Linked DNA regions of Xenopus tropicalis. The protein of the gene in region 1 interacts with the protein of each later gene in a pairwise test. Links are inferred from orthologs where the notes say so. Each region holds a gene or a part of one and is shown in the gene's direction. Other genes may lie near its edges.

The links.
Region 2: the proteins of clns1a (region 1) and snrpg interact in binary tests that used the Homo sapiens proteins (3 or more experiments, as listed by UniProt). The two-hybrid records come from large-scale screens. The link is inferred for Xenopus tropicalis from reciprocal best matches to the Homo sapiens genes CLNS1A and SNRPG.
Region 3: the proteins of clns1a (region 1) and lsm2 interact in binary tests that used the Homo sapiens proteins (3 or more experiments, as listed by UniProt). The link is inferred for Xenopus tropicalis from reciprocal best matches to the Homo sapiens genes CLNS1A and LSM2.
Region 4: the proteins of clns1a (region 1) and snrpd2 interact in binary tests that used the Homo sapiens proteins (3 or more experiments, as listed by UniProt). The link is inferred for Xenopus tropicalis from reciprocal best matches to the Homo sapiens genes CLNS1A and SNRPD2.
Region 5: the proteins of clns1a (region 1) and lsm3 interact in binary tests that used the Homo sapiens proteins (3 or more experiments, as listed by UniProt). The link is inferred for Xenopus tropicalis from reciprocal best matches to the Homo sapiens genes CLNS1A and LSM3.

Annotation. Positions count from the first base shown.
Region 1 is NC_030678.2:168,850,824-168,856,795, reverse strand, and holds part of clns1a (methylosome subunit pICln), read left to right. Parts: intron 1-3,329; coding exon 3,330-3,466; coding exon of another isoform or gene 3,467-3,472; intron 3,473-5,972. UniProt on the Homo sapiens protein: Involved in both the assembly of spliceosomal snRNPs and the methylation of Sm proteins.
Region 2 is NC_030679.2:122,084,220-122,090,827, reverse strand, and holds snrpg (small nuclear ribonucleoprotein G), read left to right. Parts: upstream 1-2,133; 5' UTR 2,134-2,160; coding exon 2,161-2,192; intron 2,193-2,806; coding exon 2,807-2,829; intron 2,830-3,637; coding exon 3,638-3,762; intron 3,763-5,175; coding exon 5,176-5,226; 3' UTR 5,227-5,353; downstream 5,354-6,608. Other genes in the region: protein FAM136A, read right to left, coding at 1,649-1,735. UniProt on the Homo sapiens protein: Plays a role in pre-mRNA splicing as a core component of the spliceosomal U1, U2, U4 and U5 small nuclear ribonucleoproteins (snRNPs), the building blocks of the spliceosome.
Region 3 is NC_030684.2:75,102,220-75,108,642, reverse strand, and holds lsm2 (U6 snRNA-associated Sm-like protein LSm2), read left to right. Parts: upstream 1-2,748; 5' UTR 2,749-2,886; coding exon 2,887-2,889; intron 2,890-3,353; coding exon 3,354-3,421; intron 3,422-3,904; coding exon 3,905-3,935; intron 3,936-4,819; coding exon 4,820-4,879; intron 4,880-4,996; coding exon 4,997-5,122; 3' UTR 5,123-5,455; downstream 5,456-6,423. UniProt on the Homo sapiens protein: Plays a role in pre-mRNA splicing as component of the U4/U6-U5 tri-snRNP complex that is involved in spliceosome assembly, and as component of the precatalytic spliceosome (spliceosome B complex).
Region 4 is NC_030684.2:70,385,408-70,391,906, reverse strand, and holds the start of snrpd2 (small nuclear ribonucleoprotein Sm D2), read left to right. Parts: upstream 1-2,899; 5' UTR 2,900-2,970; coding exon 2,971-2,972; intron 2,973-5,945; coding exon 5,946-6,125; intron 6,126-6,499. UniProt on the Homo sapiens protein: Plays a role in pre-mRNA splicing as a core component of the spliceosomal U1, U2, U4 and U5 small nuclear ribonucleoproteins (snRNPs), the building blocks of the spliceosome.
Region 5 is NC_030680.2:132,916,802-132,923,331, reverse strand, and holds the start of lsm3 (U6 snRNA-associated Sm-like protein LSm3), read left to right. Parts: upstream 1-2,172; 5' UTR 2,173-2,185; coding exon 2,186-2,206; intron 2,207-5,172; coding exon 5,173-5,283; intron 5,284-5,371; coding exon 5,372-5,467; intron 5,468-6,530. Other genes in the region: xpc (DNA repair protein complementing XP-C cells), read right to left, coding at 713-854, 1,406-1,490. UniProt on the Homo sapiens protein: Plays a role in pre-mRNA splicing as component of the U4/U6-U5 tri-snRNP complex that is involved in spliceosome assembly, and as component of the precatalytic spliceosome (spliceosome B complex).

The DNA of each region.
Region 1 (5,972 bases):
GGAACTCCTTGGGGGCTTATAATATCCCTATATGTTACAATAGGGGTACTTTATTCACTATATATTATAAGGAACTCCTCGGGGGCTTATAATATCCCTATATGTTACAATAGGGGGCACTTTATTCACTATATATTATAAGGAACTCCTCGGGGACTTATAATATCCCTATATGTTACAATAGGGGGCACTTTATTCACTATATATTATAAGGAACTCCTCGGGGGCGTATAATATCCCTATATGTTACAATAGGGGGCACTTTATTCACTATATATTATAAGGAACTCCTCTGTGACTTATAATATCCCTATATGTTACAATAGGGGGCACTTTATTCACTATATATTATAAGGAACTCCTCGGGGACTTAAAATATCCCTATATGTTACAATAGGGGCTGCTTTATTCACTATATATTGAGTGATTGTGTAGCGTATTTGTTACCTGTATAACCTGCTGGCCATAGGCTAAAGCTGGCTATACACGGGCCGATTGTAGCTGCCGAGGTTGGTCCCTTAGACCTATTCGGCAGCTTATCGGTAGTGTAGGGTCCCCGAACCGACTGCACCTATTACCGGCGTTCTAACTCGATCGAATTAGCTTGAATTCCCCCGATATCCCCCACCCGTAGGTGAAGGAGAAGATCCGCTTGTTTGGTGACCTCGCCAAGCGAGCGGATCTTAACGTGTATGGGCACCTTAACACACATTCCTACACATATTGTGTATAGTACTGACTGTATTATATATATATATATATATATATATATATATATATATATATATATATATATATATATATGCACAGTAACCAGCGTATGGTATAGTCAGTACAGTGTTACCCTATATGTTGGGCTGGCATATTTTGCAGCGCTGAATGGAGATTATACATCATTCCTGCACCAGGGGAGTTTGTAGTCTATAGTCTCTGTAACATACACTAGGTCCAGTTTTAGCAGGAACCAGTTATTCTGCCTTTATGTTGGGGGGTGAACCGTAGCACTTGGGGGGTAACCCACACAGACATGTACAGGACATATATATTCTTTGTAGATGGTTCCCTTGCTGGAAGCAAACCTAAGGGTGAAGACACATGGAGCTGCTAGTAGCAGCTACTTGTCGTGGCTACTAAATGCCAGAAAATCCCCTGCCATAGACAATACTGAGAATTGCCTCAGCTAAAACACATATAGAGACAATTATCAGTAAATGATCAGCATTGTCTATTTCTGTAGCCACAACAAGTAGCTGCTACTAGTAGCTCTGTGTGTCTTCACCCTAAGGGTGAAGACACATGAAGCTACTAGTAGCAGCTACTTGTCATGGCTACTAAAACAGACAATGCTGATCATTTACTGATAATTGTCTTTACATGTGTTTTATCAGAGGCAATTCTCACTATTGTCTATGGCAGGGGATTTTTTGGAGTTTAGTAGCCTTGAAAAAGTAGCTGCTACTAAGTAGCTCTGTGTGTCTTCACCTTAAGGGCTCTGGCACACAGGGAGATTAGTCGCCCGCGACAAATTCTCTTGTTTAAAACCTCACCAAACGAGCCAGTCTTATAGAGCTGCCTTTAGGGCTCTGGCACACGGGGAGACTAATCTCCCCGAGTTGCCATCCCACCGGCGAAAATGTAAGTCGCCGGTGGGATGGCACATGCGGCGGCGCGATTTCGCCAAATCGCCGAAAATGCCTTTGTGAGGCAACTTCGCCGATTTGGCGAAATCGCCTGCGCAGCGTGTGCCATCCCACCGGCGACTTACATTTTCGCCGGTGGGATGGCAACTCGGGGAGATTAGTCTCCCCGTGTGCCAGAGCCCTAAAGGCGGCTCTATAAGATTGGCTCGTTTGGTGAGGTTTTAAATAAGAGAATTTTTCTCCTGATATGGTAACCTACAGTGGGCAATATTGGGCTAATTGGATCATTTGGTTACAATGACAGGGATAAGAGCCGTTGGAGTGAGGACCACATCAATGAGATGAACACAGTCCTTTATTGGATTGGTGGGGTGGGTGGGGGGCCACATACATGGGCAGATAAGCTGCCGGATTGGTCAAGACCACTGTGACCCTTATTATATGGCACAGATAGAGTTAACAGGATCACCCCCTACATTGCCAGTTACTTTAGTCTCTGATTGTCAGTCAGTGCAGGGGCTCATTTTTTTATATATAATTAGGGATTCACCAAATACACTATTTTGCAAATTAGGATAAGGAAATGTTAAAATTAGGATAATGTAGTAATTATACAAATTATTATTATACAAATTAAGATAAGAAAGGTTTAAAGAGGATTCGAATTTGGTTCGGCCGTATCCAAATCCTGCTGAAAAAGGTCAAATCCTGGTTTTGGTGCATCCCATATATATATATATATATATATATATATATATATATATATATATATATATACACAGATTGCAGAGTGGGGAGCACACCAAACTTTAGGTACAATACCTGGGTGCCAGAGCCGCAAAATGTAGATAAGTGAATGAATGTCGGCACTCACAGGATTCTCACAAGGATGTATCACAGACAATATGGTTGAATGCAACTAGGTGAGGTTTATTGTCCTACGTTTCGGTTCTTTACTGGAACCTTCGAACCTGACGAAGGTTCCAGTAAAGAACCGAAACGTAGGACAATAAACCTCACCTAGTTGCATTCAACCATATTGTCTGTGATACATCCTTGTGAGAATCCTGTGAGTGCCGACATTCATTCACTTATATATATATATATATATATATATATATATATATATATATATATATATATATATATATATATATATATATATATATATATATATATATATATATATATATATATATATATATTATATATATATATATATATATAGCAAGAAAAAAGAGCTGCACTCACCAGGACTTGGCAAAAATATAGTAAGTTTATTTAAGCAAAGAGATCCAACGTTTCGAGCACTAACTGTGCTCTTTCTCCCTGAGGAAGAGCACAGTTAGTGCTCGAAACGTTGGATCTCTTTGCTTAAATAAACTTACTATATTTTTGCCAAGTCCTGGTGAGTGCAGCTCTTTTTTCTTGCTATATATATATATATATATATAATATATATATATATATATATATATATATATATATATATATATATATATATAGCTAGCACTAGTGAAAGGCTACCAGTAGTAATATCTCATTCCTGACCAGCCATTAAAATTATTATTAGAGGAAACTGTTAGACTGAGGGATGGGAGCAGCAAGCATAATACACCTAATTTTAAACCATTATTTTTTCTGGTTCCCTAAAAACAAATTTAGTGAGATTTTCTGTTTCTCTTTCAGTCGCCTATCATGGCTGAATGGTTCCGGCCTTGGTTTTTCATTAGAATATCCTTCAATCAGTCTACATGCAATCTCCAGGGACACGGCCGCCTATCCTGAGGAGCATCTCTACGTCATGGTGAACTCCAAGCTCGGAGGTGCGGGCAGGTTTTTGTCTTTGGTGACCTCTTAGTTCAGCTTTGCTGATAGGCTCTGCTAGCAGTGTTAGGGTAAAGACACACAGAGCTACTTAGTAGCAGCTACTTGTCACGGTTACTAAACGCCAGAAAATCCCCTGCCATAGACAATACTGAGAATTGCCTCTGCTAAAATACACGTAGAGACAATTATCAGTAAATGATCAATATTGTCTGTTTCTGTAGCCATGACAAGTATCTGCAACTAGCAGCTCCGTGTGTCTTCACCCTTATATGCGGCATTATATATATATATATATATATATATATATATATATATATATATATATATATATATATATATATATATATATATATATATATATATATATATATATATATTACACCAGCGCTACACTGACTGCAGAAGGTTGAGAGTTTTAGTTCATCACATATAAATAGACTCTGGCTCTTGCACCATGCACATTCTTAAAGGAGAACTAAAGCTTAACTAAAAACGTAGGGCAGAAATGTTGTACATTGTGTTTTGGGTTTCTGTATAAGCCCAGGGCAACCACAGCCCTATAGCAGTGAAGATCTGAAGATGCCCCAGTTGCCCCCCATCTTCTTTCACACTTATTCCCAGCACATGCCCTGGGCTGCCGTCAGTAACTGATCTTAGGGAACCACTCACAATAGACTGTATATATAGAATATACATTTTACAATATAAGTGAGATAGTGTAGTAAATAATACAGATTACATGGCAGCTCTAAAACCAATGCAGTTAGCATCAGAGCTCAATATGCCCAGAGCACACTGAGCATGTGTAGTGTCACTGACACTCCTAACAAAATCCAGGATAGGGAGCTCCTGTTCCCTATCAGACCCACCTAGTTGCTGATTGTTCCTAAGCTACAGTGCAAGTGCTGCCAGCTTCCCTGAACAGCCTGGGAAAGGAGCCAGCAGGAAGTGAAACACATGGTTTTTGGAAATGTTTTTATGAAATCAGCCCAAAACACTTTTCTTAGCACATTCCTTCTATATTTAGAAGCGTAAAATGCATTGGCACATTCTTGTTTTTTACACAATATGCTTAAAAAGCCCTAAGAGTGTCCCCTCTGCCTGTACAGTATCTGCTCCCACTAATCAGGGAAATAGAGGTAACTGTTGTGAGGAAATAGCATTTTAAATCACAGATCAACAAGGTGCTAAAATGTAATTTAAAATTCGTTTTCTGGTGGTCTTGGCTTTTGGCTGTAAACTACTGTTGAAATCAGGCTAACATGGATGCTACTGACTGGATTTACATTTGTAGGCACCAAATAAAATATATGGGAGATCCCTTATCTGGAAGCCCATTATCTAGGAATTTCCAGGTTATTGTAAGATCATCACCCATAGAGTCTATTTTAGGCAAATAACAAAGTGATTTCCTTTTTCTCAATAATAATAATAATAAAACAGTAACTTGTACTTGATCCCAACTAAGATATAATTACCCCTTATTGGGGGCAGAACAGCCCTATTGGGTTTATTTCATGGTTAAATGATTCCCTTTTCTCTGTAATAATAAAACAGTACCTGTACTTGATCCCAACTAAGATATAATTACCCCTTATTGGGGGCAGAACAGCCCTATTGGGTTTATTTAATGGTTAAATGATTCCCTTTTCTCTGTAATAATAAAACAGTACCTGTACTTGATCCCAACTAAGATATAATTACCCCTTATTGGGGCAGAACAGCCCTATTGGGTTTATTTAATGGTTAAATGATTCCCTTTTCTCTGTAATAATAAAACAGTACCTGTACTTGATCCCAACTAAGATATAATTACCCCTTATTGGGGGCAGAACAGCCCTATTGGGTTTATTTAATGGTTAAATGATTCCCTTTTCTCTGTAATAATAAAACAGTACCTGTACTTGATCCCAACTAAGATATAATTACCCCTTATTGGGGGCAGAACAGCCCTATTGGGTTTATTTCATGGTTAAATGATTCCCTTTTCTCTGTAATAATAAAACAGTACCTGTACTTGATCCCAACTAAGATATAATTACCCCTTATTGGGGCAGAACAGCCCTATTGGGTTTATTTAATGGTTAAATGATTCCCTTTTCTCTGTAATAATAAAACAGTACCTGTACTTGATCCCAACTAATTTTCCTAGAGAAACTAAAGCTCCCCCCCCCAAGGAAATGCCTCTAAAGTGAGGAAAAACAAAATGTTCCAGAAACATGTAAAATGTTGCTGGCACTTAAAGGGTTAAATCATCATTGTGACTGCAGATTGGGGGAGAGAGGCTCTGACTCACAACCTGACAGTCCCACGAAATGGAGCAGTCAAAATGGTTTCTTTCTTTTGCTACATAATGGCTTAAATAGGTCAGGCTGCATCTTTGTGTGTATCATTTGGAATGCGGGGGATGATTTTAGCTGTGCCTGGGTTTTTCTCTTTTAAAGGGGAAGTTCATTTTTAAATTAATGTTTAGTATTGTATTGATAGACCTTTTCTTTTCTG
Region 2 (6,608 bases), on another chromosome or scaffold:
GATGGGCTTTCCGTAATTTGGAACTTTCTGGATAATGGGTTTCCGGATAAGGGGTCCCATACCAGTATGACAAAATCACTGTCCCACAACACAAGCTGGATAGCACTGGTTTAAGCAATTTATTTGTGTATGTCCTGACATTTTATTTGCCATGTACTATTGCCACATTCACATTCTGTGCTCCAAAGGTTGATCAAATTGTCAACAATTATAAACATCCTGCAAGTCACCTGATCACCTGAAGTGGATAAAACATCCCAAGCCAGCTAGAGGCCATTCATGAACTATGAATAAATAAAATATGATCCCCTGAACCAGCTACAGACCCTGCATCTGCAACAGTGTCCCAGAGAAGAAGGCTGGGGGTCCTGTCTCATAGGAACAAACTTTCTGCATGCAGATTATTTTCCCATTGGCTTTGGTTATGGTTATGGGGGGCATTAACACAGTCGTGTGACACAGATATAAATTGCAAACCCCTATGAAAACACCAACATCCCAGACCCAAGGTAATACTGATGAGCTACTGTTTTATACTTGGGGGTCTCTATTTTGGATGCATATAGAAACACACTTTTGGTTTTTGTGATGGTTATTCTCGTAGTGTATATATATATATATCCAACAGATCATATTAAGTGGCCTATTAAACAATTTCAACATTAAAATATATGTATATAGGGATGCACCAAATTCACTATTTTCAGATTTGGCCGAACCCTGGATCCTTTGTTAAAGATTTGACCGAATTCCAAACCAAATTTGTACATACAAATTAAGGCAAGTAAGGGTTAAAGAGAACCCCACGCAGAGTGTGACAAAAAGACAGGTGTTTTTAAAAATTCGGATTTGGTTCGGCCAGGACCTTGGATTAGACTTAATCCTGCACCGAATCCCGGATTCAGTGCATGCCCTTGGTGTGTTTGTGTGCTACAATAGCAGGAGGCCCTTAATATATAAAATGGCAATTTTCTATGTAGGATTACCCAATAGCACGTGCTACTAAAAGAAGTATATTTTCATGCAATTTATTTAGAAGATGCAGGGTTTTACATCTGAGCTGTTTATGCAATATATTTTTATAGAGACCTACATTGTCTGGGGTATAGATTTCCTTTGCTAAGAGGCTTGGGCCACACTGTGGCTTTCAAACATAAGTTTTACTCATTTGAACTTTTTGCCCCAGTTTCTTTTTCCCCCAGTTTCTTTTTGCCCCAGTTTCTTTTTCCCCCAGTTTCTTTTTCCCCCAGTTTCTTTTTGCCCCAGTTTCTTTTTGCCCCAGTTTCTTTTTGCCCTACCCATTTCTGATGAAGTTTGCAGCAACAGTACTTGCGGTTTAATGGTAAGGAACAGAAACCTGAACAGAAAGATAAGTCCCTGTGCTAAGCAAATGTAGCAGGAAAACTAGTATGTTATATTAAAGGACAAGTAAAACCTGGTATATAAGGCATCCCACAGCCATTAGTCCTGTACATTAAAAATGACCAATTCCTATTGGACCCCCAGGCATTTGTGCCCCTTCCATTCAAGTGCATGGGAGTGCTACCCCAGGGGGACTTTGAATGGCAGCAGAGTATAATAAAAGAAGTAATGGAAGATGGGCTGTAACGCCCTATGACATAAGACTAATTACACCAGACTATGGTACCTGCATTTTCCTAATGTTGTCCCTTTCCAAGCTCTTCACCATAGTGTCTATCGCATTTTGAAGCCGGTTCTGCTGTTCCTCTGCCATGTCTGACAAGCGTGTGCTCCAAGGGCAACGCACCTCTCTTCCGCCCTTACACATACCCTTCCGGTTACGGCTTGCCCTTACTCTAACTCTACGGCATCTACGTTGTTTTGCGGCAGACATCTAAGCTGACCGACTAGCTTCCATAGCCCCAAGTTTTTGTTAAATTCTTCTATAACCAATCAGGGAAAACGTATATATGTAATCAAATTTGCAATATTTCTTATATACTTTAATATTTGATACACAATGTTATATTTAGCCCAACTAAAGCCGGCTAACGCGTCTCCTTTGTATTCTTTGGTGGTCGTCATAGCGACCGTGGGGGTGGGCGGGGAAGCGCATACACGTAAGACGTGCTTACGTCACATTAAGGCGACTGCGTTACTTGGCGGCAGCGACCGGGGCTTTGTACACGAGGAACGAAAATGAGCAAAGCGCACCCGCCCGAGCTGAAGAAGTAAGGAACGGCCCGGGGGGGGGCAGTGAGGGGCAGAGCGGAGGGGGCAAGTGAGGGGCAGAGCGGAGGGGGCAAGTGAGGGGCAGAGCGGAGGGGGCAAGTGAGGGGCAGAGCGGAGGGGGCAGTGAGGGGCAGAGCGGAGGGCAAGTGAGGGGCAGAGCGGAGGGGCGGCTTAGGCTGTAGCCGGGGAACATACACCCAAACCTGCAGCCTCCATTGCGCTGTTTCATGTTGAATGGCCCGTTTTGGAGCATGGAGGCTGCAACCACATCATTCACACAGAAAGAAATGGGGATCTTTTCGATTCCCACATATCTTCCAATTATATTTTGTGGTCAAACTGATTGATTGCCCATATATTGCAATATACTCCAAGCTGGCCAACTACATCAGTCGCAGTCATAGGATTCATTAAGGATTCTAGTATTTCATAATGTGCACATGGATCTCTGGGAAGAGTGAAGTAGCTCTTATGCCTGATACTAACCCTATAAGGGAACTGCATTGGCTTCTCTTGGGTCCCTAGTCTAGTGATCTGAGCACAGGTGATTAGGTCTTGTTGAGTTATTATTATAATATAATGTATTTAAATGTTGTGTACTTTTTACTTTTAGGTTCATGGACAAGAAACTGTCTTGTAAGTATTGAAAAATTTTCCATCTACTTGTAAAAAGAAAAAAAAATAAAGGAAAACTATACCCCCCAAACAATGTAGGTCTCTATAAAAATGTTTCATAAACAAGCTCATATGTAAAACTAAATTAATCTAAATAAACCATTTTCTTAAAAATATTATTTTTTTAGTAGTATGTGCTATCGGGTGGTACTAAATAGGAAATTGCCATTTTATGAATTAAGGGCCACCCCCTGGGATCATAGGATTCACAGTGCACACAAACAAGCCAAGACACACATACATGTTAGGCCCCATCAGCCAATGAATGGGCAGAGTTCTGCCTTTTGCTCCCACACTACTCCCTGTTACAGTCAGAGCTGCATTATTTCCTGTCAGCTGATCTCTGAGGGAGCACACAGCCCATCACTAAATGGTGGCTCAAGGGAAAGGATGTAAAAGGGCAATATTTACTAATATATATTCCAGTTTGACAATATTCTTTAATAGGCCACTTAACAAAATATAAACTATCTGTTGGTTAAGTATTCGTTCTGGGGGTATAGTTTTCTTTTAAAAAATAAAAATATATATGATGAGGTCTGTGCTCGGACCTTATTCAGGTGCTTGGCCAAATAACAGTGTTATTTAGAATAAGAAGCAGCAGAGAGATGGTGCAATGAAGGATTTATTCAGGATACAGGACTGCTGTTCCTCACTCTATATAAATATATGCAGTTATAAGGGAACTGTACCAGGTGACTCCCCAAACCAGTAAACCACCAAAACCTTGAAGCATCTGATCAAATTTCCTTTCTTTTCTTTCTTTCAGTGAAGTTAAATGGTGGGAGACATGTCCAGGGGATTCTGCGTGGCTTTGATCCCTTCATGAACCTTGTAATAGATGAGTGCACAGAGATATCAGGGGGTGGCCACCAAAACACCATTGGAATGGTGGTAAGTGTTAGACTGAGCTGCAACATATATTGTATGGTCCCTTACTGTGTGTGTAATTTAGGGTGGCCGTTCATGGTCAGATTTTCCAATTTTTAAACTAACATTTGAGGACAACGCAACGCAAAATATAATTTTTTGCCTAATAAAAGAAAACAGAATTCTCAGCTTTGCAATATACATTTATTACAAATTTGTAATGGTTTTTGAGTTATTTGTATATATAATTGCTATTAGAAGCAGTGTTTGTCTGTCCTTTTCTATTCTCTGCCCTGGTGGCTCTGGCATTTGAAACAATGTAACACAAGGCAGCCAACTGACAGACCTGACTTGGGGAAGGAGACTGACTTTTGCAACATTGTTTAAAAAGTAACCACCAGGAGTTCGGCAAATGCTGCTTTCAATAGCAATTACATTTACAAATGGCATTTAATCATACAATGTTATCCACAGAGAAGTAGCACGTTAAAGATGTCGTCATTTTGTTGCCAAAAGGTAAAGTAATATTGTGCATCTACAATGCTATATCAGCTTGTGGCGGAAGCAGTATAAACAGGAAGTGATGTATTTTTCATCAATTTTTATCGATATTGGTATGCTATTTGCTATTACAACAAGTGAACGAATGAGTTCTGCTTGTTTGTAATGTGGCTGGTTGCCTTGGCTTGCTGGTATTGCAGCAAGGTATTCTTTTGCCTGTATTTATATTTACCAACAGCATGCACATGACTTTTCATAGTGTTTATGTGGTTAAAATGTAGGGTTGGCAACAAACATTTGGGTCTTGTCATATGCGTTCGTTGACTTCTGCAGGTACTGCCAATATATGCACAGAAAGCGACTGTTCAACGACAACTTTCACACCAACTCTTATCGTTGCCCAACTGATATTTTTAAGAATGTTGGGCCAATTAGTAAATTCTTACATCTAGAATTGTTTGTACACTACCAGCTATACAGTTTGTCCTGAAATCAGTCGTGAGACTACAAAATCTGAGCATGTATGGCTGCATTTAGTGGAATATGGTCAGATTATTAGCAGCTAATATTGCAAAGTGTATTGGCTTCTGTGAAGTTCAGATTAAATAATGACTAATCGGCTGAGCAGCTTTAGTACTTTAAAGATGGCCAGTTTAAAGAGAGGGATCTAGCCCATGTTTTCTGGGTAGGATGAGTTCATTGTTTTATTATATGCACAGTGCATGGCTACATACATCAGTGCTATGTACCACATGCATTTAAGTTAATTGCCATTAAGCCCAGCATTGTGGGATTTCTGTGTTCACTAGGGATGTACTGAATCCACTATTTTTGGATTCAACCGAACCCTGAATCCTTCATAAAAGACTTATTAGAATTTGTTGCATTTATTAAGGGGTGATATATGTGGTTAACCTTTCTTTTTTTGCTTTACAGGTAATTCGAGGGAACAGCATTATAATGCTGGAAGCTTTGGAGCGAGTTTAGCTTTCATTTATAACAGTTGTTAATATGCCCCTTCCTCCTCCTCCTGGTGCAAATGCCCTTATGTTAAGTGAAGATGCTACATTCCTTCTGTGAATTTGTTTTTTGTATTAAAAGCCTTCAAATAGAAGTTCTACTTTGTGATTTTACTTAAAAGAGCATTATGCACCTCTGCAAGCATTGGTTAGTTTGCCTGCACAATACACAGGGACAAGACACATGTGCCATGAAGACTAAGACATAAATACTTTGGGTTACAATCTACAAGATAATTCTGTAAGGCCAAAAACACAGGTTGTGTGTTGCTCACCAACAGTATTAGAATTATTTGTTGTGAGCATGGGCTATGATGGGTAAACTGCTATATACCATATATATATAAAACCACCAGTGCCAAGCATTAGCTTGTATGGTGTAAATATTACTACTGTTGGTCTATAGGATGAGTCTGGGTTAGTGGATGTTAGCAGAATGTTATCTGTCTGGAACATTTTTGGAGGAAGCATCAATTTTATGATTTGGACTAGTGAGAGCAAACACTAAAGGTGGCCATACACATTAAGGTTTTTTTTCTCCCTAACAACCAATTTCATTGCGATCTGACAATCCGTCAAATTATCATAAGGTTAGTGGGCACCAAACGTTCGCACATCTAGCTATTTTTCATCTGACATCTGTCAAGTTTTAAAATTGTAGTTGTTACCAATGAAATGTGCCCATTCTCCAGTTTTTTGCAGGACCAAAGCAGGTAGTTTTCCTAGCTTCAGCTAGACGATATCACTTGAAATGGTCAAATCGTACTTTTAAGCCATCGTTTCAGGATAAGCTTGATCCTACGATAACTAAAAGATCTTTTAAAAATCTTAATGTGTATGGCCTGCTTAATGCTGCAGTGTACAATGACATTTTTGACAGGTCTGTTCTTCCTAATTTGTGTGCAGTTCTTCTGCACAATCATGGGGACATGATTCAAATACTTCCACCTAAGCAAACCAATTCTGCACAGAGCTCACAGTGTTTGAATGGCCTGCACTGAGCTCTGCCATCTACCTATCAATATCTGTTGGGTGAACTGTAATGCTAGCTGTGAGCCAGGCCTAATCTGTAATTCTCTTGTCTTTATAGAAACCAGTACCTATACCATCTAGTGGGAAGCCTTCTTTAATTGTAGAAGCTATAAAACAACAGTTTAGCAAAGGGAGGACCAACTTCATATATTACACTTGGGTTTGAGAATAAGATATAGGATAGGCTTATACCTAGATACTTTTGGTAATCCAGTTGTATTAAAGGAAATGGTAACTAGCATTACTTTTGCTTAATTCAATCTAGTCTGATTTGTAACAGCATATTTTGTACAGGAACAAGAGCTTGGCTTATAGTCT
Region 3 (6,423 bases), on another chromosome or scaffold:
GATCGCTTACCACTTGGAACGGCCAGTGCTTCAGGTCTGTCTGAAGCACGGGATCATTAAACTTTCTTCCTATAAGTCTCTTAGCATCAAAGACTGTATTCTGGGGATTCATTGCCACTTGATTCTTGGCTGCATCACCAATCAACCTTTCTGTATCTGTGAAAGCCACATAGCTAGGAGTGGTGCGATTCCCTTGGTCATTAGCGATGATCTCTACTTTACCATGCTGGAAAACACCAACGCAGGAGTAGGTAGTGCCGAGATCAATGCCAACTGCGACTCCTTTGGATGCCATGTTTCTGCTCCTTAGAGTTTCTTCACACTTTCCGCTTGTATATGTGCAGCTGTGTCTTTGCCGAGAGATTAAGGTTTAATAGTTTGTTTCTGTCAGCTCTCAAAACTGTCTGCTACTCCATAACATGGCAAATCGCGCAGTGTTTATAGGACGCTTCCAAAACATATTAGCCAATCACAGAGCAGTACTCCCGACGCCAGCCCCGGTCACCTCAGCAACCGTCCCGAAATTTCCCGAGGCTTCCACGTCGTCAGCCAATCAGCAACCAGTTTTGCCGATGATATCATTCTAAGAATTTTCTCGAGTTTGCCCGCAGATTCGGGGTTGTTCGGATAGTGGCAATCGCCGAAGACTCCCGATCTTTCTAGAGAGAATGGCAGGGAGTGTAACTGTGGCGTGAAATGTGAATCATCTGCTAATAAATTGGCGATAGCTGCTAGAATATAATAGATATGCATAGAGAGTGATTGATGCGTGGGTTTTATTCGTGTGCTACAAATATGCGTACCTCTTGCGCTTGTATGGCTTTGTTTGGAAATAGGAGGGATTATTTAACATTAATTGTAGAATAATTCCTTTAGTGTTGCTGTATAACTATATTATCTAGTTACATCTCCTCTGGTAAGGTGAAAGGGAACTCTGTACACTTCCGTTGTTGTGTTGCGCCCACAGGCACTTGCTATGGTATCACACTAGTTATAGTGGGTCTGCTTTAACAACAGATGCTAATTATGTCATTTTGCAAAGCAAACAAATCTTTCCATGTTTGTCCACCGTTTGTCTAGCCCCAGAGCCAATTAACATGTCGAGTGAGGGACATATGCAGGTATCTTGCGAGAGAACTGCATGAACAGGCCCATGAGTTTCATTCCTTAGGACATTTTCTAACCCACTGCAGACATTTGTTGGCCTCAAGTCTTGGGGACAGTTCAGTCAAACGCTATAGCAGATGACCTGGGAGAGAGGGTGCCAAGTTAGGACCTGCACTTCCATTGCACTCTCCATCCTTCCTGAGCCCAAGCTGTGGGACCTGTGCGCTTGCAGGCTTGGGTGGGAGGGGTAGAGCTACAAAACAACCTGGACAGGCGTCCTAAGGTGCACCAAGTTCCTCCAGTCTCCTTGTCTTGTTTTGTCCTGAGATAATTACCATTTTTAAATGAAAACTGCAATGTCCCTACACAGACCAATATGGAACCGACTTATATGAAGGGTAAATTAAAGGAGACATATTTGATAAATGGGGAAAACCCTAATTTTGTAGGCAATTATGAATAATATACGGTGCTGGTTTCCCTTTGGGCTAAACATTAATCCTATTTGTAAAAATGGCCCCTTTATTGGAGCTCCCTATAGATCCTCTCTCTTCTCTGACCATGTTTGAAATGAAGAGTGGGCGTGTCCTAACGGTCCCTGCAAGAAGCACAGTAGGAGGGGGAGAGCCAATCACAGACCTGCACTCACACAAGCAAAGACAGGCTTCAGTTCCCTATCAGGTCAGCCTAGCTGCTGATTGGTTCCTATCCTACAGTGCAGTGTATAGAGGGCCGCTGGCTCCCCAGCTCATCCAGAGAATTCAGCCAGCAGGAAGTGGAGCAGATGGGGGGGACTAGTGGGGTTTTGGGGGAATTTCTCAATAAATCTGTCTGAAATACAACTTTTTTAAGCACATTCCTTCTATATCTAGAGGAGTATAATTCACTGGCACATTCATAATTTTTATAGGATATGTCTCCTTTAACAGTAACTAGCCCAGGTATGGACAGCGTAACTCCTTTTAGCTATCTCGTAACCCTCATGCCTTGTACCTGGAGTTGGTAATTATTGGTCCTTAACATTACAATTGATGTTTGTTGTGCAAGAACTGATAGTTTGTGTTTGTGGGTCAGAATGCAGTTCCAGCCTCTGTAGTTACACCTGGAATCCAAAGTTGTTTAATAAACTGGTACAAGGGACATTTTCTCTGAGCAGAAGCTCAAAAAGGGCAGGAGGTGGGCAAGTGACAAACCAAAGGTTAGGGATTAAAAAAATACAAAAAAGGGATCCAAAGAACAAGGAGAGATAAATCTGATTCTTGTCTGACTGTCGCTAGTTTGGCCCTAGGTTAGAATTCTGCTGGCAGAAGAAACAATAAAATAAAAAAACATTTTAAGGTTGGACATTACAGATCTAATGTGGAGTGCCTAACCTTAATATAGTTCATTTTTATTCTACTGTTTCATAAACTAATCTATACTTTGTTACACTTAGTACCTGCTCCCAGTTTATAAAACCTGTATTTTTTTTAACGTATTTTAGTTGTTCAGGGATAAAATACGTTTAGGGGACTTCTCAAGAAAGTTACATGAAAAAAATGTTTTCTGTCCTCGCGAGATCATGATTGCGTCATCACCGTGGGACCCATTCATTCGGCCGGTGCCTGAAGCCGGCGCGCAAATTCCTGCTGCTTTAAATTCTCGCGAGATTTATGCAGAGGCGCTAGAGCGGTGAATGAGCGGAAGGCATTTGGTGTGTAGATCTGTCGTTGTCAGCGGCGTCTGTTTTGTTCTTCAGTTTCCAGATAGAGCTTGGGTGGTGCGACTGCAACAGAAGCAATGGTAACCGCTTAAGAACACTAGCGTTCCGTTACTGTTTCACGTTTTGTAGGGTAGAACCTAAGGAGTCGATAGCCATGTATTTTGTGGTGTACCAGCGTATACAGACCTGTTTGGCAATCAGTCCCCCCCCCCTATAGTCGCAAGGTCAGCTTTCTGAGTGGCCATGCCCTGCTTTGACGTTCCATGTTTTGCCTATACCAGGATTCTGGGATTTGTAGTCTTATAGCAGTGGGAGGGCTCGAATTTGGCCATCCCTGCTTTGCAACAACATTTCAATCATTTGTAACCTGATGTTAGTTGGACAGAACAACTTGTCTGTCTCTGTTATTGTTTGTGTCTTATGAGAGAACATGCTTTGCCTTGATCTGTAAAGGATCTTGGCAACATTTGTTATGTGATGTGCCTTGGGTAAGCTACAGGAGAGGCAACTGGTTTTTATAACTACTTGTTTTTATCATGTACAGCTATTCTACTCCTTCTTCAAGTCTCTTGTAGGAAAGGATGTGGTGGTAGAGCTGAAGAATGATCTGAGGTGAGTGTTTTGCCCCATGTTCTTTCTAGAATTGCTTCCCCCCCCCCCCCCCCACATGCTATACAGTCAGGCAAAAAGCTGCCACTGGTACATTTCAAGAACCTAATTTCTGTACTTTAAGGGATGTGACACACGGGGACATTAGTCGCCGCGCAACAAATCTTTCTTGTTGCGTGTCGACTAATCTCCCTGTGTGTCACAGCCCTTAAACCTAGTGCAGTGTGTGCAGTTGTGCTTTCTGCACTTGTGATGTGCCCAACACAAAAGAGGTAAGCACGGTGGGTGCAGCAGCACTTAGAGTCCCCCTGACCATTGTCAAACTTTAGAGGGCAGAGTGTATTGTGTAGACAGAATTTATAAAAACATTTTCTTGTGCTCCTGTAGACTTCACACCCTTAAATAACCACTTCTTTACCATTTAGCCATCTTTCATCCATTTAGCCTTTTGTTGCACTATTACATAAATGGTCTTATCTCTTGCAGTATCTGTGGTACTCTACACTCAGTTGATCAGGTAAGTAACTGAGCAAATATATAAATGTAGTTTATTTTCTCAGCATAATTATCAGCTCAGCCATGTTGTCACTTAAGCCTTGCAACTGAAATTGGCATAAAATCTTTCAGTGCCAGGGAAAAATGTTGGGTTGGCAAAAAAAAAATGAAAAAGTGAAAATTTTCTTTTAAATGACTTTACCATTACTGAAATTTCCACAACGCTAGGTTAAATTAAACCCTAGCAATCAGATAGCGCCTACAATTCCAAAATGGAGAGCTGCAATAAAAAAAGCTAAATTTAATTAAAGACTGCGATAATGAAGACTAGTTGCAAATTGTCTCCAATTATCACTGTCCACATCATACTAAAAGTTCATTCAAAGGTGAACAACCCCTGAAGGGACAGAGCCTTTAATAAAATGTACGCATCCTGCAGAGTATAATGTCAAACCAGGGAATATTTATTAACATAATTACTACAAGATTCTCCAAAGAGAATATTGCTCATATTTTTTTTTTTTTATACCCTAGAGGGCTTGTTTGCATAGAGGAATATCTCTGCTCTACCTGTTATCGTAGTACCTTTTCAGGTGTCTGGTGCTAAACAGTCTGTAGACCCACCTGCCCAGGGTCAAAGATGCTGTAGCACACTGATCCGTTATTGTGGTTGCATTAAGTTGCACCGACTCTTGCAATGTTTTGGGTCACTCTCAGACTGGCTGAAATGTTCCCAGTAGATGTCTGCTAATTAAGCCAATAAATCACTTTATTTAATGTGTGATCAGTGTGCTACATCATCTTTTGCATTCTGCATAGAGGAATATGTCTTGGAATAGAACTTTTGGGGGGAACTTGTGTTTTTCATTATCTCAAACAAGATTTCACTTTTTTTTTTTTTTATAGTATTTGAACATTAAGCTGACTGATATCAGTGTAACAGACCCAGAAAAATATCCACACATGGTAAGCTTTTTTTTTTTTCTTTGTATTTTTTATCTGCACCAGTAAACTAGATACTTAGCTTTTAATCCTGCTTTGAAACACTTGTTAATGTAATTATTTAAAAAATTTTTTTTTTAGTTGTCTGTAAAGAATTGTTTCATTCGGGGATCTGTGGTCCGCTATGTACAGCTCCCTGCTGATGAAGTAGACACTCAGCTTCTCCAGGACGCTGCACGGAAAGAAGCTGTACAGCAAAAGCAGTGATGTACAAGAGCTAGAAGGATGGAAGCAGGTTCACAAGCAGCACTAGGTGTTGTCAACTGCCTATATTTCTATAAGGCCAAATATAGGAGTGAGCAGCAACTTGTTACCTGTTATACAGGTTTTGCATTACATTTCTGTAAGAGACCCACACTTTTTTTTCTCATCCTAGTTCTGGAAACTTTTTTAAGTGCAGTGACTTGTGTGTTCACTTTAGAATCCAAGCAATGCATTTTGCTCTGCAAAGAAGTGGTCTCAGATAAGCAGAGTTAATTGGGAAAGACTGCCCTAACTTTTTTTTTTTTTTACTTAAATAAATTTTGTGTTAAGTCATCAGCTCATGTTTTTTTTTTTTTTTAGTGAAGCTAGTTCCTTCTGTTTGTATCTGCCTTTCTTAATTTTGTCGTAATATGATTTTTACTGGTTTAATTTTTTTTTAATATGCGTATGGTAAATTTAACCCATACCCTGAATTTGAAAAATCAGAAATTTTCCACATTGAAGAACAGAAATTTATAACATTCTGTTGTCCAGAGCTTTAAAGTCATATGACTTATACCACATGCATAAAGCAGAGTTTTTATGAATTGCTAAAGTGCAAAGACCTTACTGGCCTACATAGAATCTTTACCTAAGCCCAACTGAAATGCCAAATGAGAATCTACCTTTCTGTTTGTCTGTGTTTGGGAGCATAACTAAATGTGTGCAGTGTTTAACCTTCTAGTGGAAAGCCCTTCTCAGCAGCATCCAAGCCCAAGACATTAACAGAATCTGCCATCACAACATCACTGTTCTTACTGAAAAACCACCTACGCTGCTTCAAATGAAAGTTAATGCTTGCACACTTTTTAGAATGTTATAAATACACCTATTCTAGGCAACTTTTACATTATTTTGTATGGTTTTTATTAGCCTTTCTGTTTTAGAGTGCAGCAGACAATGTTTGAATCACTGACCCAGATGGGCTACCGTTGCCCTGCTCAGAAGAACATATAAGGCTTGATATGGAGTGCAAGATTAGTGGTCACTTATCCAGCACTTGGGCTGTGGGCTAAGCTGTGCTCTGCTCCTCCTGCAGAGCCTTATCCCACCACATAAGGCAGGAGGGAGGATTCCTCCTGTGCCACTCCCTCCCCTCAGCAATACAGTGCTGGTGAGCTAAGATGATTAACAGTTTAGTTTAAATTGGGGATACACCATTAAATGGGACATTGTATAAAATTTTACAAAAAAAGTTGCAGGCAAGAGGTCTTGTTAAATGAACTAGAAAATGTTACGATAGATGAGGACACCAAAGGATCTTT
Region 4 (6,499 bases), on another chromosome or scaffold:
TCAGCGCTCTCCTTGTTCGGCCTGTGAGTTTAGGTGGACGGCCTTGTCTTGGTAGGTTTACAGTTGTGCCATACTCCTTCCATTTCTGAATGATTGCTTGAACAGTGCTCCGTGGGATGTTCAAAGCTTTGGAAATCTTAGCCTGCTTTAAATTTCTCAATACCTTTATCCCTGGCCTGTCTGGTGTGTACTTTGGACTTCATGGTGTTGTTGCTCCCAATATTCTCTTAGACAACCTGAGGCCGTCACAGAGCAGCTGTATTTGTACTGACATTAGATTACGCACAGGTACACTCTATTTAGTCATTAGCACTCATCAGGCAATGTCTATGGGCAACTGACTGCACTCAGACCAAAGGGGGCTGAATAATTACGCACACCCCACTTTGCAGTTATTTATTTGTAAAAAATGTTTGGAAACATGTATGATTTTCGTTCCACTTCTCACATGTACACCACTTTGTATTGGTCTTTCACGTGGAATTCCAATAAAATTGATTCATGTTTGTGGCTGTAATGTGACAAAATGTGGGAAAGTTCAAGGGGGCCGAATACTTTTGCAAGCCACTGTATACTAAAAAGGTGCATTATTCACCCAGTGCCACACAAAAGCCAATACTGATACTTCTTATATACCCTGTAGTATAGTAGATTATTTGTGCCAGTCTCATTACTATGTATTTTTAAAAGACTTACATGTACCAACCTGCACCAGAAAAAGATCTGGTATCTTATTGGGGCTGGAGATTAATGATTACTACAAAACAGTAACATTTTAGAGATATTAGCTTGAGCTCCTTGCAACTGCATTTGTGTCTACAAAGGGAGAATCTAGGAAAACACTTTTTAATCAGCAGTTTAAGTTAACAGCTCCATAATTAGCGAGCAGGCATATGTAGGATCCATCTCTCCAACCACACTGTTAATAAAGACTTTACAAAGATTTACTGAAACAAAATGCAATAACAGACTAAAAAAGAAAAAGCGCAATAGTCTTTTCCTGATTGCTATTCCTTTCTGATGTCCCAATAAAGAAATGATTTGTTTTATTGCTAGAAGTATGGCAGTATAACCAGAAGCCAATTAAGGTGTCAGCGTGTTTTGGAGAATAGGGCAGAAATCCAAGCAAACAGAGAGAACCTATAAACTCCCAAATGGTTAACTTTTGTAGTAAATCACTGCCAAACCCTTTAAGGGGTGGTTCACCTTTAAGTTAAAGGAACAGTAACACTAAAAAATAAAAATGTTTTAAAATAATTAAAATATAATGTACTGTTGCCCTGCACTGGTAAAAGTTGTGTGTTTGCTTCAGAAAGACTACTGTAGTTAATAGAAATAGCTGTTGTGTAGCCATGGGGGCAGCCATTTAAATTGAAAAAAGGAGAAAAGGCACAGGTTACATAAGAAGATACCAGATAAACTGTGTAGAATACAATGGGAATCTGCTACTTATCTGTTATCTGCTTAGTAACCTGTGCCTTTTCTCCTTTTTTCAATTTAAATGGCTGCCCCCATGGCTACACAGCAGGGTATTTATATAAACTGTAGTAGTGTTTATGAAGAAAACACACAACTTTTACCAGTGCAGAGCAATAGTACATAATATATTAATTATTTTTATACACTTTCATTTTTTGGTGTTACTGTTCCTTTAACTTTTAGTGTGTTATAGAATTGCCTATTCCTATTCATTATTTCTTATAGTTTTGAATCATTTTTTTATTTTCTTCTAACTCTTTCCAGCTTTCAAATAGGGGTCACTGACCCCAGCAGCCAAAAAACTATTGCTTGGTGAGCATACAGTTTTATTGTTATTGTTACTTTTTATAACTTGTTTTTCTATTCAGGTCCTCTCCTATTTATTTACCACCCTTTCATTCAAATTGCTACCTGGTCGCTAAGGTAATCTGGACTCTAGCTCTAAGATAGCTGATGAACAAAAAGTGAAAGAACTAAAAAAAATACTACAAATAAAAAATTAAGACCAATTGCAAATTGTCTCAGAATATTACACTCTACATCAGGGATCCCCAACCTTTCATACCTGTGAGCCACATTCAAGTGGAAAAAGTGTTTGGGAGCAACACAAGCATGAAAAAGGTTCCTGGAGGTGCCAATGAGAGCTATCATTGGCTATTTGATAGCCCCCATGTGGACTGGCAGCCTACAGAAGGTTCTGTTTGGCATTATACTTGTTTTTTATGGCTGCAAAACATGCCTCCTTTACCAGAAATTCAAAAATGAGCACCTGGTTTGAGGCCACTGGGAGCAACATCCAAGGGGTTGGAGAGCAACATGTTGCTCGCAAGCTACTGTTTGGGGAACACTGCTCTATATCATACTAAAAGTTAATTCAAAGGTGAAGAACACCTTTAAATCTGCTACGCAGTAAAGCTATCCATTCAGTTATTTTACACAATAGGACACTAAAAAGTGTACACATTTTCTGGTCGGTCTTCCAAATGCTTTTGCAATTCAGATTTGTTTTCAGTTTCAAAGTTATTAAGCATGTTATAAGCGTCTATTATAATTATTATGTAACAATTGCGCCACCTACTGGTATATCCCTCCAATTGCACAATCTGAGAAAACATGGTCAAAATGAAACATGGAACTGTTCTTATTGCGCTCTTTAGCGACTGAATTCCCAGCACAGAGCGTTGCCTTACATACTGGAACAATATTGGAATAAGATTTGCCTTGTCCTATAACCACTCTAGGAACTAGATGCGCCCTCTTTGTTAACTAATCCACCCCGCCTTTTCTCTGTCAGATTACGCCGCTGCCCCTCTGCGTAGCAAACTGGAGGGAACTTGTTTCGTGTCGATCACGTGGGCACGTTTCTACAGGCTTAACCAAATCAAGCAGGAACTAGCCGCTAAAGTGGCCCGGAAGCGGAAGTGGCCCTTCAAAGGAAGCGTTCTACACGCCGGGAAAACGTGAGAAGGGAAAGGAAAGACAAAAAGAAAGATGTGAGTAACTGGTGGAATATCTTCAGCCCAGCTTTAAATACTTAAAAATAAGGAAAAAAACTAGCCTTTTGTATCTACTTAAGTTTAGCTGATTGACGCTTAGAACGAATGCCTCTATGTAGCAGAGCATGCGATTGTACTAGCCGGAACTTGCCTGCACTTAGAAAATGCTGTGTAGTTCTGTGATTTAATTACTGTGGCAGAGATGGCAGTGCCAAAAAGCTTCCCTTGCAGGCTACCAGCACCAGGTCGTGTGTATAAACAGCTCCCCGGGTTTTCTCATTATGCAATTGCATGTGACACTTGCTCACTATATACAGGCATGTTAATAACATGGCTACCTGCAGCAAGTTCTCCATCATCCGGGTGTGGGTGGCACATCGCTATGAGCATTTTTTTGGACAAAATGGTACTGTTTCCCCCAACCTAAGTGCGGGTTCTATTAGCCCAATTCAAATCCGATATGTGTCTTTTAATACTAAGCAACTATTCAGTATACACGATTTAAACATTTTCAATGGTTCTAAATGTTTTCAATCAATTTCTAATCAATTCCATATCTTTCCTGGTTGGACCCACATGACAAGTTTCTACAAAGGAAATATTCTGCAGCTTTATGTGCTTGCACGATTATAGAGATCTGTGTGGTCAACTTAAACACTAATTTGTGTTTAAAAAATGCATATGACTGAAAAATATGCCTTTTAACACATTCAGCCCAGACTTTTTTGTTAGTTTATTAAGGCTTAATTGCTCTAGCAATAAGGGGTGGGACTTCACACATGCTCAGTAATGTTTTTGACTATGGGGCACTCCTTTAAAAACATGGAGGCAGCAAGTAGATAGCGATGGGTAAAAACAGCTTTAAACATGATTATTTGGGGAAAATTAAACCTAGTAATTAAAATCGTACCAAAATGGACAGTTAATAGGGTAACCCATTTTTAATAAAATTGTATTCTCCATTAAACAAAAAATCACCAGTAGACGTTTTGTTGTCAGAAAAATAGTGTTATATCTGATTTAGTACAGTGGTGTGAAAAACTATTTGCCCCCTTCCTGATTTCTTATTCTTTTGCATGTTTGTCACACTTAAATGTTTCTGCTCATCAAAACCGTTAACTATTAGTCAAAGATAACATAATTGAACACAAAATGCAGTTTTTAAATGAAGGTTTACGTTATTAAGGGAGAAAAAAAAACTCCAAATCTACATGGCCCTGTGTGAAAAAGTGATTGCCCCCCTTGTTAAAAAATAACTTAACTATGGTTTATCACACCTGAGTTCAATTTCTGTAGTCACCCCCAGGCCTGATTACTGCCACACCTGTTTCAATCAAGAAATCACTTAAATAGGAGCTACCTGACACAGAGAAGTAGACCAAAAGCACCTCAAAAGCTAGACATCGTGCCAAGATCCAAAGAAATTCAGGAACAAATGAGAACAAAAGTAATTGAGATCTATCAGTCTGGTAAAGGTTATAAAGCCATTTCTAAAGCTTTGGGACTCCAGCGAACCACAAATGGCAAAAACATGGAACAGTGGTGAACCTTCCCAGGAGTGGCCGGCCGACCAAAATTACCCCAAGAGCGCAGAGACAACTCATCCGAGAGGCCACAAAAGACTCCAGGACAACATCTAAAGAACTGCAGGCCTCACTTGCCTCAATTAAGGTCAGTGTTCACGACTCCACCATAAGAAAGACACTGGGCAAAAACGGCCTGCAGGCAGATTTCCAAGGCGCAAACCACTTTTAAGCAAAAAGAACATTAAAGCTCGTCTCAATTTTGCTAAAAAACATCTCAATGATTGCCAAGACTTTTGGGAAAATACCTTGTGGACCGACGAGACAAAAGTTGAACTTTTTGGAAGGTGCATGTCCCGTTACATCTGGCGTAAAAGTAACACAGCATTTCAGAAAAAGAACATCATACCAACCGTAAAATATGGTGGTGGTAGTGTGATGGTCTGGGGTTGTTTTGCTGCTTCAGGACCTGGAAGGCTTGCTGTGATAGATGGAACCATGAATTCTACTGTCTACCAAAAAATCCTGAAGGAGAATGTCCGGTCATCTGTTCGTCAACTCAAACTGAAGCGATCTTGGGTGCTGCAGCAGGACAATGACCCAAAACACACCAGCAAATCCACCTCTGAATGGCTGAAGAAAAACAAAATGAAGACTTTGGAGTGGCCTAGTCAAAGTCCTGACCTGAATCCTATTGAGATGTTGTGGCATGACCTTAAAAAGGCGGTTCATGCTAGAAAACCCTCAAATAAAGCTGAATTACAACAATTCTGCAAAGATGAGTGGGCCAAAATTCCTCCAGAGCGCTGTAAAAGACTCGTTGCAAGTTATCGCAAACGCTCAATTGCAGTTATTGCTGCTAAGGGTGGCCCAACCAGTTATTAGGTTCAGGGGGCAATTACTTTTTCACACAGGGCCATGTAGGTTTGGATTTTTTTTCTCCCTAAATAATAAAAACCCTCATTTAAAAACTGCATTTTGTGTTTACTTGTGTTATCTTTGACTAATAGTTAAATGTGTTTGATGATCAGAAACATTTTGTGTGACAAACATGCAAAAGAATAAGAAATCAGGAAGGGGGCAAATAGTTTTTCACACCACTGTATATATTCCCAATTCTTGCATAGACCAGTATGTTAATGAAATCTAAACTGTGGTGGGGCTAATAGTGACATGAATGGTTTATAATCTCTCTAAAGAGCTGCAGAATGTATCAGCGCGTTATAATAATCTGTATGTATACACCCTTTTATTGCACAGTGCCAATAAATATGTTGACACTTTATAGATCCATGTTAATAACATATTGCCAAATAATTCCCTGCACTTATACACAAAACTAAGAGTTGGACAGCGCATATTGTGATTTTGTTAACTGACACCATTGTTTGTAATTAAAAGGTTTAATAATTTAATGCCATCTCACACTGATTCTAAATCTCTTCAGGAGTCTCCTTAACAAGCCCAAAAGTGAGATGACACCTGAAGAGCTACAAAAGCGAGAAGAGGAGGAGTTCAACACAGGGCCACTGTCTGTGCTTACTCAGTCTGTGAAGAACAACACACAAGTTCTGATCAACTGCAGGAATAACAAAAAGTTGCTAGGCAGAGTAAAAGCCTTTGACAGGTACTATGTTGATAAAAACTTGGGAAATAAAGGGAATGAATCGGTGCATGTTTTCTGCCTCTCTAATAATTCATTATGTGCAAGTGCAAACATTTTTTTTTACAATACCACAACAAAATAAAATGCATTTATTGATGAATTAGTATTATCTCCCCCCTCTAATGTTTCCTAGCTCAGCAAGCCAGATTAATGGGCTTGTAAGAAGACTCAGGACATCTTTTTTTAGATCACAGACTTAATTCCTGAGGTTAGGTCACCTCCATTTTAATCTTGCACCTACGCAAGTAAAGTGTTTTACCACTGACCATTCAGATTTACTACAATCCAATTTTATTTTTTCATGTAATGCCACCTGTGCTGGAGGAGATAAAAGG
Region 5 (6,530 bases), on another chromosome or scaffold:
ATATGAGAAGAGTAAAAACTACCACTATCTTGAAAACTAGACAAAAATAATTATGTAAATGGAAAAAATGATGAGTAATTTTATATTTATTTGTATTAAGTGCTTACATTTGACTTAAGCACATATACTACTGAAATCAGTACAGATCTGAGCATAAATAACATTGCATAAGAAATTTCTTAATTAAAGTGGGTTAGTAAATCTGAACTATAGACTAATAAACTACAGATATGAGCATGTGGGCTTATTTATACATGCATGTAAAAGCTCCAGCTACCTTGTTGTGCGCTGCGCTAAGACCACTTAAGGTGGCCATACACATAGCAATTTTGATCTTTCGATCGTTCCCACCCTCCAGTAACGTTCAGGGCTGAGTCGTCAGATATGGAGGTAGAAACAATAGAAATTCTACCTCCTTCTGCCGATTCAGCCCTGAACGTAGATTTTGCTCGGGGTGCCATATCAAAACCTTTTAACCTGGCCGATCGACTAGTCGACCGATATCCACAGCTTTTTGCAATATCAGTTGCCTCGTCAAGCCCCATACACGCACAGAGAATCGTATGAGGTTTTGTACAACATCATTGGTGTGTGTATGGCCGGCTTTATCCATATTGGCCATATTGACACAAGAATAAGCAAACATGGAGCAGACTTAGTGCATCTCTCCTGCATTGTTGTAAAACCAATCAACTCAACCAAGATGACTCACTGTGTTTGTTTTCCAACTGTTTTCCCATCATTTACAGTCGGTCTCTTGGCTACACAACTTTGCTTCGTCAGACTGTCACCGCAGGAATCTTTACTCTTCTTAACTGGGGGTCTCTTCTCTTCATAGAATTTATCTTCGTCATCTACATGGTTAAAACAAGATGCCCCTTTATTAAATAGGAAGGATGAAGAGCTAAGTGCAAACGACCTGTAATGTTCCACCAGAGCCCAAAGCATTGGTAGTTAATCATTTAGCACAGAAATAAAAGCCCATGCACAATTCAAGGGCTAACTCTGCCTATCTTTTAATATTGTCCAGATGGCATAATACTAACACAATCTGCAACTGGTCTTTATTTTTTATTTCATCTGGTCTCTGAATTATGTTGTCAAGGTTTGTATTTAATTTATCTGGTTTCTAGGGGTTACCTTAGCAATCATAGAAGAATCTTAAAACCAGTATAGTGAATAGTACAGGGCTGATGCCCATAGGGTTCAATCTGCACTCACTACAGTATTATTCCCAGCCTATTTAGAAACTCTGCACAGTGTCCCCATACAGTACCTATAAGAATTAAGTCTATTTAAGTCTGTGAATTAAGTCTGTGTTTAGATTTCATTTTACGTGTTACTGTATATCATTCACAAGATGAATGAAAATCTCTATAGACATGCAGACCCCATAGAAACTCACCACCATGCAGGGAGTCTATTGCCGGGCGGTTTCTCTGCTTGTTCCCCGCTACCGCAGCACCCTCAGACCCCCTCCGCTTTGCCATCTCCCCACAATTCTACCTCACATGTCCCCTCTGGTTGTATAACCCACACAACAGGAAACAATCTGTCTCAGACAATAACATTAACGCGTCACTTCCGGAACATACACATGTGCACCCCGCTGCCAGGCCTCCGCCACTTACTGCCCATACTCTCACATTATTGGCTGAGCTTCACATTCCGGCCTCCGACACTTACTGCCCATACTCTCACATTATTGGCTGAGCTTCACATTCCGGCCTCCGTCACTTACTGCCCATACTCTTACGCTATTGGCCGAGCTTCACATCCAGGCCTCCGCCTCTTACTGCCCATACTCTCACACTATTGGCTGAGCTACACATTCCGGCCTCCGTCACTTACTGCCCATACTCTCACGCTATTGGCCAAGCGTCACATCCAGGCCTCCGCCACTTACTGCCCATACTCTTACGCTATTGGCCGAGCTTCACATCCAGGCCTCCGCCTCTTACTGCCCATACTCTCACACTATTGGCTGAGCTACACATTCCGGCCTCCGTCACTTACTGCCCATACTCTCACGCTATTGGCCAAGCGTCACATCCAGGCCTCCGCCACTTACTGCCCATACTCTCACGCTATTGGCCGAGCTTCACATTCTTCCTGTGGCACATAAATATCGCGATAGGAGAATTGTCAGGGTTCTCGGCTATTTCCTTTGCGCGGGGTTTTGAAGATGGCGGACGACGGAGAGCAGGTAGGGATGTGGGTTTATAAGACTGGAAAACAGGTTCTGTTCGGTTCTCGGCGCAGTGCGGCATAAGGGGTGCTCCTGGCCCGGTCTCGCTTGGGAACGCGTATAGGGTTTTTTTATGTTGCGGGGAATTAAGTGAATGTTTATTCAAACTGGACTGTTTTCTCTTTTATTTCAAAGCCTTTTTTTTTTTTTAATCGTGAAGCACCGGTGGAGTGTGTTTATATTCATAACTAGCGATGTAAATCTGATTAAAAACCCAGTTGTTGTGGTCAGGAGTAAAATGAAATGTATGTTCTGTGTGGCTGATGGCGTCAATATATTCAAACAATAGAAGCACAAGGCTTGTTTTAGTTTCTATACCTCAGATTTCTGAGTTTATCTCCCAATTGACTCTTGACTCCTGTTTTTTAGGGACACATCCTATAAAATTTAAGAATATACTAGTGAATTATACTCCTAGATATAGGATTGTGCTTAAAAAAAAAAAAAGTTGTTTCGGACTGATTTGAGAATCCCCCCAAACCCCACTAGCCCCGCCCATCTGTTCCACTTCCTGCTGGCTGAATTCTCTGGATGTGCAGGGGAGCCGGGGCACTCTAAGATAGGAACCAATCAGCAGCTAGGCTGACCTGATAGGGAACTGAAGCCTGTCTGTGCTTTTGTGAGTGCAGGGCTGTGATTGGCTCTCCCCCTCCTACTGTTCTTCTAGCAGGGACCGTTAGGACACGCCCACCCCTCATTTGAAACACAGACAGGGACCTGAGAGGATCTATAGGGAGCTCCAATAAAGGGGCCATTGTTACAGATAGGGTTAATGTTTAGCCCAAAATGAAACCAGCACCGGATATTATTCATAATTGCCTACAAAATGAGGGGTTTTCCCATTTATCCAACATGTCTCCTAATTTACTAATGTGTCAATCCATGTTGATTGGAAGAACACAACATACATTTCATCACTGCCAAAGCTCAGCAGTTTGAAAGCTGTATGGAGGTGGTGCATGTTTTTGGGAGCAAACTAAATAACTACTGGCTAGGCAGCTGGTTCACTACCCTATTGGCTGCCCAAGCGGGTCTAAATCTATAACCTAAGTCTGTCATTTTGGCTTTTTATTAAAGACACCACAAGCATTCCTTAAATCTAAAGTTCAAACAAGACAAAAAATGAAAACTGTAAGGTTTTAATAGCTCAGGTTACAAAACAAAAACTGTAGTACCGTGTTAGCCAGTGTCAAAAATAATAATAAAAAAACAACAAGACACAAATACAAGAGTATTGTACTTCACACTAGTGAAACTACACTCTGGGCTTTATTTATAATTAAAATACAAATAGTACAGTTACATTAAAGGTATAGTGCTAAGTGTCCTAGACAAGAGGAAGGAGGTCCCTGCCCCACAGACCTTACAATCCCATGCAGGGGAGAAAAGAAATGCTATTTGGTAACTGTAGATCAAATCTGACTGCTCAAAACAATAAAGGTGCCCATACACAAGCAGATTTTGTCATGTGAAACAACCAGTTTTAAGGTGGCCATACATGGGCTGATTCTAGCTGCCGATATCAGTCCCTTAGACCAATTCGGCAGCTTATTGGCCGTGTATGGGCATTAACGACAGGCCTGCCCAACTGACATCGGGCAGATCTCGATCAGGCAGGTTTAAAAATCAGTCTGATCGGGGACTGCATTGGCTCGTTAATGCAGTCCCCAAACAGACAGACGCCTATGGCCGTCGTCCTAATTCGGACATTTGACCCTGGGGCCAAACGACCGAATTAGCCTGATATTGCCCACCCATAGATGGGGATATTGGGAGAAGATCCGCTTGCTTGGTGACTTCGCAAAGCGAGTGGATCTTAGCGTGTAAGGCCACCTTTACAGTGAACCAATAAAATTTGCTTTATTATTAACTTATTGTTACATTCAGGGGGAAACGATTGTAAAATATACGATCATTTCAACTGCATTGTCCCAACATTTGATCAGATGGGCTTGACCGTTTTTGTCATTAAATCAGTCAGTGGATGAGAGGAACAGATCACAATCATTAGATTAACATTCCCTGCACAAGTCTTTATTTTGATGGGCTAGGTTAAGTGCAAAAGTAAACAATGGAACAGACGGGCATTGGCTAATATATGTTCTTGGAGCCAGCACAACAAAGATATGACAAGTCTTCTCATATATTGACAAATGATCAAGCAAGCTTGAGTTTAGTTGCCTGAGGACCTGCTGCCCTTCACACTTCCCCCCCCCCCCCCCCCCAAAGGTCCTGTGGATGCTGAGTTACTAAACTCATGCAAATACTCTGTACCCCTGCAAGCACTGACACTTGATTGTGTGGCTTAAAAGACTGCTATTGCTAAATATTTGCAACTTATTCACTGGAATATAGAATCAGAAGTGCCATTACTCGTTTAAAGGAAATGTAAACCTTCGAAAGACATGGGGGGGAAAAAAGTCAACTGCAAAAGTGCTCTGAATAGAGTGCTGGGCAGTTTTGAGACTGTTTTCTTGGGTTTACATTTCCTTGAAAGTACTTTTTATAATATCATAATTATAAGGAGGCTAATATATCACGGCACCATCTGCAAAAGAAAGGGGACCAGAATTTGTGGTAAAAGCAGATGATTATTACTTTGCAGCTAAGGGGTTAAACAATATACAGGCAACTCTTATGTATCCAGCAAAAACAGTTTTAAGATAGAGGCAGAAACACAGGACTAGGTTTAAACTGAAAACTATAAATTGAATCATACTAAAAAGAAACTACCGCTCAAACACACAGAATAACTTATTAAGCAGACATGTGGCCCAGTGTTATAGGATCCAAAAATTGTAACTGTCTCAGGGACTGTTAATGTGACACTGTTGTGTTGAATAAACTTGCATGTTTGAGCAAAACTGGTCATGGTGCTGAGTATTGTATTACATCTCTGTTTCCTCCCCTCTCCATCGATCTAGCAACAAACCACAAATACAGTGGAAGAGCCTCTGGATCTGATCAGACTTAGCCTAGATGAACGGATCTACGTTAAGATGAGGAATGACCGAGAGCTGCGTGGACGTTTACACGTGAGTGTTTAGTATAGGTGATTTGTTTTGTGCGGATCATATTTGAAGCGTAAGGAAAACCTGTTTCCTTGTTTGCTCTTTTATACAGGCATATGATCAGCATTTGAACATGATCCTGGGAGATGTGGAAGAGACCGTGACAACCATAGAGATTGATGAGGAGACATATGAGGAGATTTACAAAGTAAATATTATTTTAATTGCATTCCTTTTATTGCATTTACACACGGATTTATTACCTATATATATCTCAGTTACTGGTTGCTTAAGAAATTAAATGAATCTATATTCCGATAAGGTATACCTTTTTAAAAAGGCTTTGTGGCTTAGCCTGCTGAGCAACAAGCACAATAAATATTTGTATTAAAAGGGGCAAATAATGCCATAAAGTGAAAATTCATATAAGATGTGAAAAATTGTAACCCTTAGCAGGGCCGAAACTAGGGGTAGGCAGAAGAGGCCCGTGTCTGGCCGCAATGGTCGATGGGTGCCAAGCAGGTACCTCTACTGCCTAATTACCCTGAGTTCCATCCATTCTGCTCTGAGCCTCGCTTAACACTGCTCTGTCTTGCTCCTCCCTCAACCCATCTGTCACTGTAGCGCTGGTAGCAGGGGCGAATGGGGGAACCAGGGAGGGGTGACGCGTTGACTGCCATGGGCTCAAGCGGCTGTCCCTTGGGGTGCAATTTACTTATCACTCGTCTCTATAGTTGCCATATGTACCACAAGATAGCAGCTCCCTGACACCTTAAAATTGCTGATATCAGAATAGCACTCAATAGTAAGAAAGCCAGTCCAGCTTGGGACTCCTCCAGTTACATGGGAGTAGGAGAAACAATAGGTTGCCTGAAAGCAGTTCTAATGTGTAGCGCTGGCTCCTTCTGAAAGCTCAGACTTGGGCACAATGCACTGAGATGGCGCCTACACACCAATATTACAGCTAAAAATACATTTGTTGGTTCAAGAACAATGTTAAATGGTAGAGTGAATTATTTGCTATAGAAATACACCATAAAATCATGTCAAAATCCCTTTAAACCTAGGCAACGAGGTTTAGTATAGAAATCTAGTTTTCTAACCCATTCTTTATTAAAAAAAAAAGGGGGAAGATAATGGTAAACAAGTGAATTGTAATCTTTAACCCTTAATATCAGTAAAAAGTGCAATTATGGGTTCTCTGGCTTCCTACAGAGTACAGGTATAGGCCCCATTATCCAGAATGCTCGGGACCAAGGGTATTCCAGATA